Linked DNA regions of Schizosaccharomyces pombe. The gene in region 1 interacts genetically with each later gene. Each region holds a gene or a part of one and is shown on either strand. Other genes may lie near its edges.

Region 1 (5,395 bases):
ATTGTGTGTAGGCGGGCAAAGCTTCGAAACTTGGACTAAACGATTGTTATTACCGGTACTGTTAAGTTACGTAAATTGTTGGTCAGGTAAACGGTTTGTACTAGACGGATGGAATTTGGAAAAGTTGGATAAAACACGGCAATGTTGATTATTTTAACGGTGTTTTGCGATACAGTCTTGCAATTCTTATTTGTCATAATAGATGCATAGCAATTGGCTCAATTTCAATTTCAATTTTACTTATTTTTTTTTTCTTTAAAGAATACCTTCGGGAATTGGTTGCGTATAGGAAGAATTGAATCTGTCTCACTTGAATTGTATGCGACAATGTCGTTTTGATGTTGTTGACCCATACTCTCTTGACACTTGTTTACTAATGTCATTTTTTCATTTTTTTCTCATAGACGATAGATTACTCCTTGGGATGTATGAATTTCTTTATCGTTTTCTTCAATTATTAATCCTATCAAATTGTCTGTAGTTTTTCATTCATGAACCAAGTCAGAATCACTTTTATCTTGGTCCTTGTTCATATCCCTTCGCTTGCCATAGCGCCAGCGCCCTTGACATCATGGTAGAGTGTGTTTGATATAGAAGCATCATAAACTATCCAATGGCCAGAACCCTAGAAGATTGCTGAGAAATGTAATTAAAACGTTGTAAATTCATTGCCTTTGGTATTGAGTGTGATGCCTGCGAATTTCATCTTTTCAACTACTGACCTAAGTGTGGTGGATATGTGGACAAATGATGGGATTGTTAAATAATGAAAATGATGCTTAAGAGTTTCTGGAAGAAAACGAAGAATTGATAGATTGGACATTTGACGTTGACTTTCCATTTCTATATAATGGATGTGGATTTCGCTAATGCCAAACACAAACTGCATTGTTTATTAAAAAAAAATTTCCTCTTAACGATTCGATTCAGTTCATTGGTTTCAATACAATACATCCCATTCTCCAATCGTTTGTATGAAATCATCAGTATTGCTCTAAATCCTTGCAATTTTTCTAAAAGTCTTTTTTGGTTACGAAAAAAAATAAAAAACTCCGTTCTGTTAAAAACTTCCTTTGATTCTAACGAAACAATTTTTTTTTTATATTCTCTTCATCGTTGTGTGTATTATCTTTTCATTTATCTGTGATAATACCGATTCTTTATTTATTTATTTACTTAGTTATATACTTGTTATTCCATTCTGTTCCTTTGTTAGTTACTGATCTTCACCTTACTTTCAATCATTTTCTTTTGGGTTGTTGTAAGGTTTATATATTTGGTTTATCTTGTACGATAGTTTGTTTTTTTCTTCATTCGCAAGCTATTCTATCTAGATATTTTTTTAGCTCCATTTCCTATAAGCTTTAGTTTTTCTTTTCCCTTTTCCCGTCTAATTTTTTCTTGTAAAATCGCTAGACGTCCATTTTCATTTTCTTGTTTGCTTGTCTTTTTACATCTCTTCCAAAAATATCCGTCTTCTCTTTACTAGCACAAAGAAGAGAAATATCCTTCCTCCATTTCAATTAAACGACGATATTTCTTTCATTTCATAGTCGTTTACTTTACCAATTAACCCTTGAAAGGACATTGTATCTCGCAAATTCCTTGAGTTTGCTTTCCCGGTAAATTTGGTATAACCGACAACGATCTTCATTGTCTGCCTCCATCCATTCCCCATTAGCTGCTTCACAACGTGACCAGACTGCGAACCCTGCCTCAAGTTTGATTACCGAACCAACATTTGAATCGCTAAACGTTTTTAGCCGCTTCGATTTTCCGAGAAACACATAAACAAAGATTGTGTGTGTTACTGTACCCGTGTGCACTTGACCGTATATTAGGACACTATAACGCTAAGCTGCGTACCGCTTAATTCTGCACTGAGCTCCAAGCCATCCGCCATCGTTCATTTGCGACCCTTTGTCTAGAAACTATTCGCCCCTTGTCTTCGGCCCCATCTATTGGAAGTAACGACCTTCCGATACGGCACTGACGAAGTTGCATTGTTACCCCTAATTACTTTGATCCAAGTTCGATCCACTCTGTGTACTCTGATTGGCTTTCTTATATTTAAGGGCCCCTCATTAGGTGTTTAAGTCTGAAAGCTTCACTGTTATTCGCTCGCATAGTCGGCGTCACTGTTACTTGACCCTTTTATCCTTGTTACCTTTATACATACGTAACGAGAAGGCTTGCTAAATCACCTTATCAATTACTACTTAAACACCGTCCTACCCTTCTTAACGCCTTATTCTGACTAACTTCAACGTGAGGACGACACGAAGGAAGCAGAAGCAAATATACTTACTTAACTTAAGGGAGTTAGTACAATCATAGAATTGTTGTTGAATACCATATATTCAACTTAAAAAAAATTAAACATATTTATAAAAAAAATTCGCTTGCAACATATATTGCGTCCACTAGTTGCCTGCAAAAAAAAGATTACTCTTTTGAAGTATCACCACTCTTTTCGATTGATCTCGATTGTTCATTGAATCAAAGCGTAAATTATTTACTATTTCGCTTTATTTTAAAAAAAAGTCGAATCGAACAGTTTCCTCGACTCGATTCGTTATTACTTGACTTTCTTTGTTGATTAAAAAGGATTCTTTAAAAGGTTTTTACTCCCTTTCTTTTCATCTTATTTATATTATACATTTATCATCCGTTAATCGCCAATTTGTTTAGACTGAAAAAATTAGATAAGTCACTTTGGGGTTTCCACTTAAAACATTACAATACACTAATTACACTTGGGTAATTTAGTGCTTAAAAATAGTTTACCTTCATTTTTTTGCTTGGTAAATTCTTCTTTTAGAAACTTTTTCCTTTTTTTTTCGAATTTATAGTTCGTCGAATTTCATTAGATTTTACATTCAGTCTTTTTTTAATTGCCTTTTTTTACCCCTCTCAGCGCTCTCTAAGAACTTGCCTTCCTTAAGTCGAGTTTTCTAAGTGCATTATTCCCTGATTTCTCAAAAAATAACTTACTAAATTATTTTGTTATTTTTATTCTATTTTTTCATCATTGGTATATAATTTTTAATTTGGTTTCTATTTATCGGTTTATCTTTTAATTTTCTCTTTTATCTCTTTAATTTTATTAATTCCCTTAAAAACTTTTCAATATGCCATCTCTCGCATTGCCTATCAATAAGCCTTCCCATCACAATGTCAACTACAACGGAAATTCCTTTAACAGCATTCATGCTACCTCTTTTGGAATGAGTCCACAGTCTTGGGGAAATAGCTTTAGTGGACAAGCTTGGCTTCGTGATACTATTCCATCTCTTTCTAACGTGGTTGAGTCACAAACGATTCCCGAAGAGGATTCTACCTCTTATCTAAACCGGTTAGAAGAAGCATTTTGCCGTGATTTCCGCTGCTGTGGTCAAACTCTCGAAGATTTGCATCAACTTATTCACCATTATGAAGAGCAGCACGCCGTTCTGGCAACTGATTCTGCTGTTCCTCAAGAATATTCTTTGGATAGCAACAACGCTGCTCAATCTAATCATTCTCATATTCAAGCGCTCAAACAGCGTGAGCGCATCCGTATGCATGATCTTGCTGATCAGCTTGGAACTTCTGAAATTTCTGATAATTCTGCTGTTTTACCATTTGCCTTTCCTGCTAACGGTGGTGCTCCTGGCCCTTACCGCGTTTCCGTTGTCGTACCTGCCGCTGCTGCTGCTGCTGCTGCCGCTGCCAGCTCCGACATGAGCAGTGACGAGGCCAGTAGTCAAGCAGAGACAACTGGTACCCCGAAAAAGATGCCTGAATCATTGGTAATGGATGCAAGCTCCCCTCTCAGTGACATGAGCATGTCTATTGACGTTGGTGAGTCCGCTGCCAATAATGTTTTTGCGTTCAATCAAAAGGACATGGTTGACTCTACATATCTTCCCCCATTCAATTACGATCACGATGTTTTTTCATTTGCTCCATCTGTCGCATCCGCCGATCAATTCACAGAGTCTAGCATGTCTCCTACTCCTGAAGTAGTTTCACCCGCAGCCACAAACTCAGCAATCTCATCCCCATTTGTTAGGAAATCTTCTAGTGATTTGGAAGCTAAGCCATCTAAAAAGCAGCGTTCTACTCCTGCATTCTCACACGATTCACCGCTCACTATTGATTACCCAGGCTCTAACTTGGTGGTTGTAGACAAGCCATACAAATGCCCTGTCCCTAATTGTGATAAGGCTTATAAGAATCAAAATGGTTTGAAGTATCACAAACTTCATGGACACTGTTCCCCCATTACTACTCCAACACCAGCTCCAATTCCTCATCAAGGGTTTGTTGTGGAAAACAAGCCTTATCGCTGTGAAGTTTGTAGTAAAAGATATAAAAACTTAAACGGTTTGAAATATCATCGTACACATAGTCATCTACAAGTGTCTATGGCCCAAGCTCAACGGGAAGTTCAAATGAACTTTATGCGCACCGCATAAATATGCTCTTTTTTGCCTTTGTAATATTTGAACATGAGATTTGTATCTCAGTTTCGTATCTTCAAGTTTGAATACTTTTATGTCTATCTTTGCTTTTAAGTTTGAGAAGGGTAGACATGTTGTGTGGAGTTTGCTTGATGTTTACGGGCTTGCATTTATCTGCATACAACAATCGAATTAGCTGTAAAGTGAACCTGTCTCCTTTGATTCATTCCCGTTAATTTTGCACTTACTTTATTACCTACATGATGGCTGTGTTTGTTTTGTTTGCTTTTTTTTTGTTTTTTAATTTTTTGTTTTGTCATTTTGGGATTCTGGATTTTTAATGGTTTTTATTGTGTATTAAGTTATTTTTGTACCAAATATCCTCTTGCTGTTATTATTATACCTTTTAAGTTAATAAATATGTATGGCAGTGTTATTTACCATATATTTGCTAAGTTATTTCACAACGTAGTTTCGATAGTAATTGTAGAGTACTGTAAGATCGTTGGTTAGTTCCCATTGGGTAAGTTGACTATATAACGTTAGATTCATTACCAATTTGCCTAGTCATTTGCGCATTTTACGAGACAAACACAGATCACTCGTATATAAGTCACCAGATATTTTATTAATCTACTTAATTCAATCCAGATGATAAGCCAGTATTAAGTATGAAAAGTTGATGATGCATATGAAGAAAGTGAATGCTCGATACACTAAGACCATAAGTTGTTTATCCCTCTGCCTCTTCCACACTATTGCTTTTGTGCTTTGGTGTAAAGGTGAATCGCTCAGGAGTAGGACCTAGGAAGAACTCACTCAATTTAACCCAGTCCGTAACTTTATTACTGGCCAAGAGAGTTTCCATCTCATCTCTCGCGGTATATAGAGGCGGTCTATCATTTAATCTGGGCCTTTGAACTTCGTACAAAGCTATAGGTGTATAACGA
Region 2 (5,056 bases), 3.5 Mb from region 1:
TCAATAAATCAAGGTTTACGAAAGAATGTAGATTCTAGTATTGTTGTTCAAGCAGGCTGTGACACTTATCTTTAGCATCAATTGTAACCTACAACCAAGTATATAAAACAGGCATCTATGGCTTGAAAACAAAAAGAAAACACGAGGAAATATTGTTTAATCTTTTTTAGTACACTAAGTCCATCATCATTAAGTCATTAAAGTGCGAGAATGAATCCCATAAATAAAATGAAGTTTGTCTCCATTGATAAACAATCTCAAGATATATGAATCCACAATTCGGCAAATTCTTCACGCGATACTTTACCATTAGTGCCAGCTAAATCGAGCATCAACTGAAGCTGTTCTTTAGTCAAATTTTCCCCTAGTTGAGCGCAAGATCTTCGAAGGTCTTCAAAGTCAATGTACCCTTTGTGTGTCACGTCAAAAAGATCAAAAGCCTCTTCTGCTTCTTCATCCATTTCAAGACGTTTAGTACTGACAGACATGGTTCCCCTAAACTAAAAAACTATTCAACAAGGAAACGCAAATGCAAACAAATGAGATAGTGCCAAAAATGCTAAAATGAACGAAATAACAGTAAAAAAAAAGAAAGGAATGAAAATCAGCGTCCGATGGCTAGAAGAGATATAATTTGTTCAACAGTTATCAAAAAAAGACTAGAAGTGAGTTAAAAATCCAAACGAAAAGACAAGGAGGAATAATATGAACAGATAGACAATCAAAAGTGGAATAACTGCGTTTAAATACTAAGTAATCAGGCTATTTGATGCAATTTGAAGGTGGTACAAATGGAAATTTCGTGGTGCGATAAAGTGGACGAAACTTGACCTTAATGAATATATGGTATAAAAACGTTAAGCTGAATTTTTTTTTCTAAAACTGCCAAATCAACAAGGATATTGAAGAGACAGTTGGAAATCTCAAAATTTATGTATAAAATGTGTTCAATTGACTTTATTTACGTGCCAAGCCAACCTACTAAGGCGTTATTAGCTAATATAATAAATTGACCGAAGCTAAGGTTGTGCGCAATATTTAAATAACAAAACACGTAATACAAGATTTTTGATGAGTTAATAGATCGACTTGCAAAATGGCTTTAATGATGTAGGCTATCAAGCATAATCTCCTTTAGCGGTGTGGCATACTAATACTCGTGTTATATATTATATATGAATGTTTGACATTATTTATACACATTCATTTTTTAAGGATTCTTACTTTGTTTATGTATTTTTTAACATATTTGAGATGCTTCTGAGACATTGGTTCGCTCTCTGATTTCGTAGTTTTTCCATTTTTTCCTTTGAGACAGGGAGGGATACGCGATTTGCATATGCTAGTATAAATTTGTCTCCCTGTGAATGTTCCATTATTTACTGTATATGAATTGCGACAGCAGTTGCTACTGAAAGGTAGGAGCACAATTCTGATGGCATTTGAAAAGTCAAACTTCCTACTAGATTTTATGTGAATTATTTTAAAAAATATGTTTTTCTTTTCTAAAATCCACATCGAATTCAGTGTTTGCTCTAGCAGTTTCAAAGTATATCACTCTAAATTCGGTAACACTATTCAATATAACGGACTGGAGGAATTAAAACTCACAATGTGATAATCGCGTATACGTAAGATGGTTAATAACCATGAATTCAATTTCTCAAGCACGAATTTTTCATTAATATACGTACTTTTTTATGGTTATTGTAATAAATAAGAGGAAAGAATGAACCCTCTTTTCTTTGATACTTGCGCCGAGAGTTTACAGTTTTATGATTTGCTCATGTCCCGTAATGTTACCTCTTAGAAGTACGCACTTTGTATCATGCTACTATACCCCAGAGATTATTCTATGGTAGAACTTCCTCCACTACCACAACCCGTACTCCACGTTCATCACGCCAAGAAAACCTCCTTTTTAAGTCCTCTGATAGCTTTTTTTTCATTTTGTAATTTAACATTTCTGTATCATCATCCATAATGAATCATGGTACTAAAAGTAAGTTGGCTAACTTCGATAGTGCTGTTGTTCTAACCGTATAAATAGTTCCTGTGGACCCCTTTCGTATTATAAAGGAAACCGCTCGTGATGGGTCAACGGGAGAGGTGAAGCAACTTTCTTACACTTCGAGTAAAGTTGTGGGCTCTGGAAGCTTTGGCGTGGTCATGCAGGTTCATTTAATTGAATCAGACAGCAAAGCCGCTATAAAACGCGTTTTGCAAGATAAACGGTTTAAGGTATGTATTTTTATTGAATGCAAAATGCGAAAGGAAGGGTTAGATTTTACTTTATTTTTCTGTGAAAACCGCACACTTTTGTTTACGCTGAAGATACGTAGCGCGCGTGCTTCGTCAATATACGTAAGATTCATTTACAAAAGATTGGTCGTCTACATGCCATAAATGGTAAGAGAGTAGTGTTATTAAAACATTACTTGCTTTTGTGCTTTCTCTTCTTTGAAGTGTCCACAGGCTTACCATACCTGTTGTCATGAAATTGTACAACTCAAATGCCTATTGCTTTTTTTTTGCATCCATTGTACGATACACAAGCTTTTTTTAGCCAGTATTTGGATGCGTTGAAAATTTAGTGTATTCGTTTTGAACATATTTTTCCTTTTTCCCTCCTCCATTTTTTGCACTTCTTTCTAGATTTATAAAAAAACTCAGTATTATAAATCTTCTCCAATGAACCTTTGTTTCTAACACTTAATTTTAGAATAGGGAGTTACAAATTATGCGAATTATGAAGCATCCAAATATTGTCGATTTAATTGCCTACTATTATACCACCGGTGATAATTCCGATGAAGTCTATCTAAATTTGGTTCTAGAGTTTATGCCTGAAACGATTTATCGTGCTTCTCGTCTATATACTCGTCAAAAACTTTCTATGCCAATGCTGGAAGTCAAATTGTATATATATCAGCTTTTGCGTTCTTTAGCCTACATTCATGCTAGCGGTATTTGCCATCGTGATATCAAACCTCAAAATCTACTATTAGATCCGGAAAACGGAATATTAAAGCTTTGTGATTTTGGTAGCGCAAAAATCTTGGTTGCTGGTGAACCAAATGTCTCTTATATATGTTCTCGTTATTATCGAGCTCCAGAATTGATTTTTGGAGCTACTGATTATACTCACGCTATTGACATCTGGTCTACTGGATGCGTGATGGCTGAGCTTATGCTTGGACATCCTCTTTTTCCCGGTGAAAGTGGCATTGATCAGTTGGTAGAGATTATCAAAATTCTCGGTACTCCTAGTCGAGAACAAATAAAGACTATGAATCCTAATTATATGGAACATCGATTCCCACAAATACGTCCACAGCCTCTTTCACGAGTGTTTTCTCGAAGTGTTCCCCTTGATGCATTGGATCTCTTATCAAAAATGCTTCAATATACACCTACTGATCGCCTTACTGCTGCTGAGGCAATGTGCCATCCCTTTTTTGATGAGCTTCGGGATCCTAATACTAAGCTTCATAACTCTCGTAATCCCGATGCTTCTCCTCGTCATTTACCCGAATTGTTTAATTTTTCCCCCTTCGAACTATCCATTCGTCCTGACCTTAACCAAAAACTAATTCCGTCCCATGCTCGCGATGCTTTACCCGTGAAACTTGATGATTTTGTTCCAATTCCAATTCATCGTGCCCGAATTGATTAAATGTAACGGGTATATGCATTCATCTTCTAAAGTTCTTGTATATCCATTTTTGCCACCAAACTTATTTTACTTCTTTGTTGTATTACGCATTAATATAGCCAGTGAATCTGCCTTGTTGTGCGTACATATACCAATCGCTATCTATACTGATTCTACAATGGTCTACTTGTGTGGATATTCTTTTCGTTCACTTTTTTTTTGTCGTTATTGGTGTTGAATAAATCAAACCTGAATTTTGTTTTGATGAGAACTAAATTTTTTCGATCACGATTATTTTCTTAATTGTTATTTTAGGAGTCATAAGTAGACCATCTTAGTTTGCTGAAAGTTTTTCAGCGACTTTAAAACTTTAATTGGATGAGAAATGTAATCGGTAATTCTTTCATTCTGGAAAGTATACTGCAGAATCTCATATATACATATATATCATAATTCTTATACTAGTAAAATGTTTGTGATTGATTCAATTAATATTTTATGGTTAGGTTTCAAAAGAATGTTTTGTTTTTATTATTGTTTAATTCATTTTTTTGTCCTCATTAAAAATTCTTTTGGTAGAGTCATTACTAAGTTTTTGCTTCGTAGACTACATGAAAGAAGCTGGTGAGGCGAAGTAATATTATGATTCAATACTACCTAAGATATAGCAAACATCAAAAGGGTACAAAATTCTAGGAAATCATCTGGCAACGTTAGATATCAATATGTAAATAGAAATAGAAAAACATGTAAATCTAATTACATACTAAGTCAATAAATGGAAAGGAGTCTGGTAATTTTTGATTAATTAGCAGTGGTTTACAAACGAATAGTTACTAGTTATTGCAAATCAAAATTAGTGTCGATGACATGTGTAAGCTTGACATTCATTTTATTTCAAAATAGAAAAGTAAAGATAAGAGCAAAATTTTCATTTCGTATACGAAACTAGCAAACAACTACAACGACGTGAACAGCAAAAACGAGTGTATTTGAAGTAAATTATTTGTGAGATGATAGTACCAATCAACCCAACTGAACAAACAACGTTTCAAAAGGGAGGTGGTAAGAAATTGCAAAGCAAAAAAAACAAGTCATTTGAAAAGAAAGGAGTGAATGACTAGATGCGAGACTTCCAAATTTTCTGGATTTATCGTTCTAAAAGAATAAACCGAAAAAAAACAAACTTGGGAATGCTAAAGAGACTCGAAATGTAAATTAGCAAAAAGTTTGCAAAGGATATATAAAATCGCTCACATTGTTCCTTTATAGCAACTGAAGGTAGAGCGGGTAAATAATGCATGTAATACCAACCATAGAAATAGAAATACGTGACCAAAAGAGTAAAACCAACGGGGAAAAATGAAATGGGAATGATGAAAACGAAAAAAAAAAGTAAAA

What was found.
Region 2: mutations in sfp1 (region 1) and gsk3 together harm fitness more than expected from each alone (negative genetic interaction), as found in Schizosaccharomyces pombe (2 studies listed by BioGRID).

Annotation. Positions count from the first base shown.
Region 1 is NC_003424.3:4,431,369-4,436,763, reverse strand, and holds sfp1 (transcription factor Sfp1), read left to right. Parts: upstream 1-2,250; 5' UTR 2,251-3,131; coding exon 3,132-4,460; 3' UTR 4,461-4,895; downstream 4,896-5,395. Other genes in the region: SPOM_SPAC9E9.02 (uncharacterized protein), read left to right, coding at 851-1,147; SPOM_SPAC9E9.01 (uncharacterized protein), read right to left, coding at 1,563-1,825, 1,867-1,903; tRNA dihydrouridine synthase Dus3, read right to left, coding at 5,179-5,395.
Region 2 is NC_003424.3:927,956-933,011, forward strand, and holds gsk3 (serine/threonine protein kinase Gsk3), read left to right. Parts: upstream 1-1,875; 5' UTR 1,876-1,983; coding exon 1,984-2,002; exon of another isoform or gene 2,003-2,050; coding exon 2,051-2,241; intron 2,242-2,722; coding exon 2,723-3,676; 3' UTR 3,677-4,242; downstream 4,243-5,056. Other genes in the region: SPOM_SPAC1687.14C (calcium-binding protein), read right to left, coding at 258-488; SPOM_SPAC1687.23C (uncharacterized protein), read right to left, coding at 1,204-1,518. UniProt on the Schizosaccharomyces pombe protein: Interacts with cdc14 which is thought to play a role in the initiation and completion of mitosis. Involved in the positive regulation of mis12.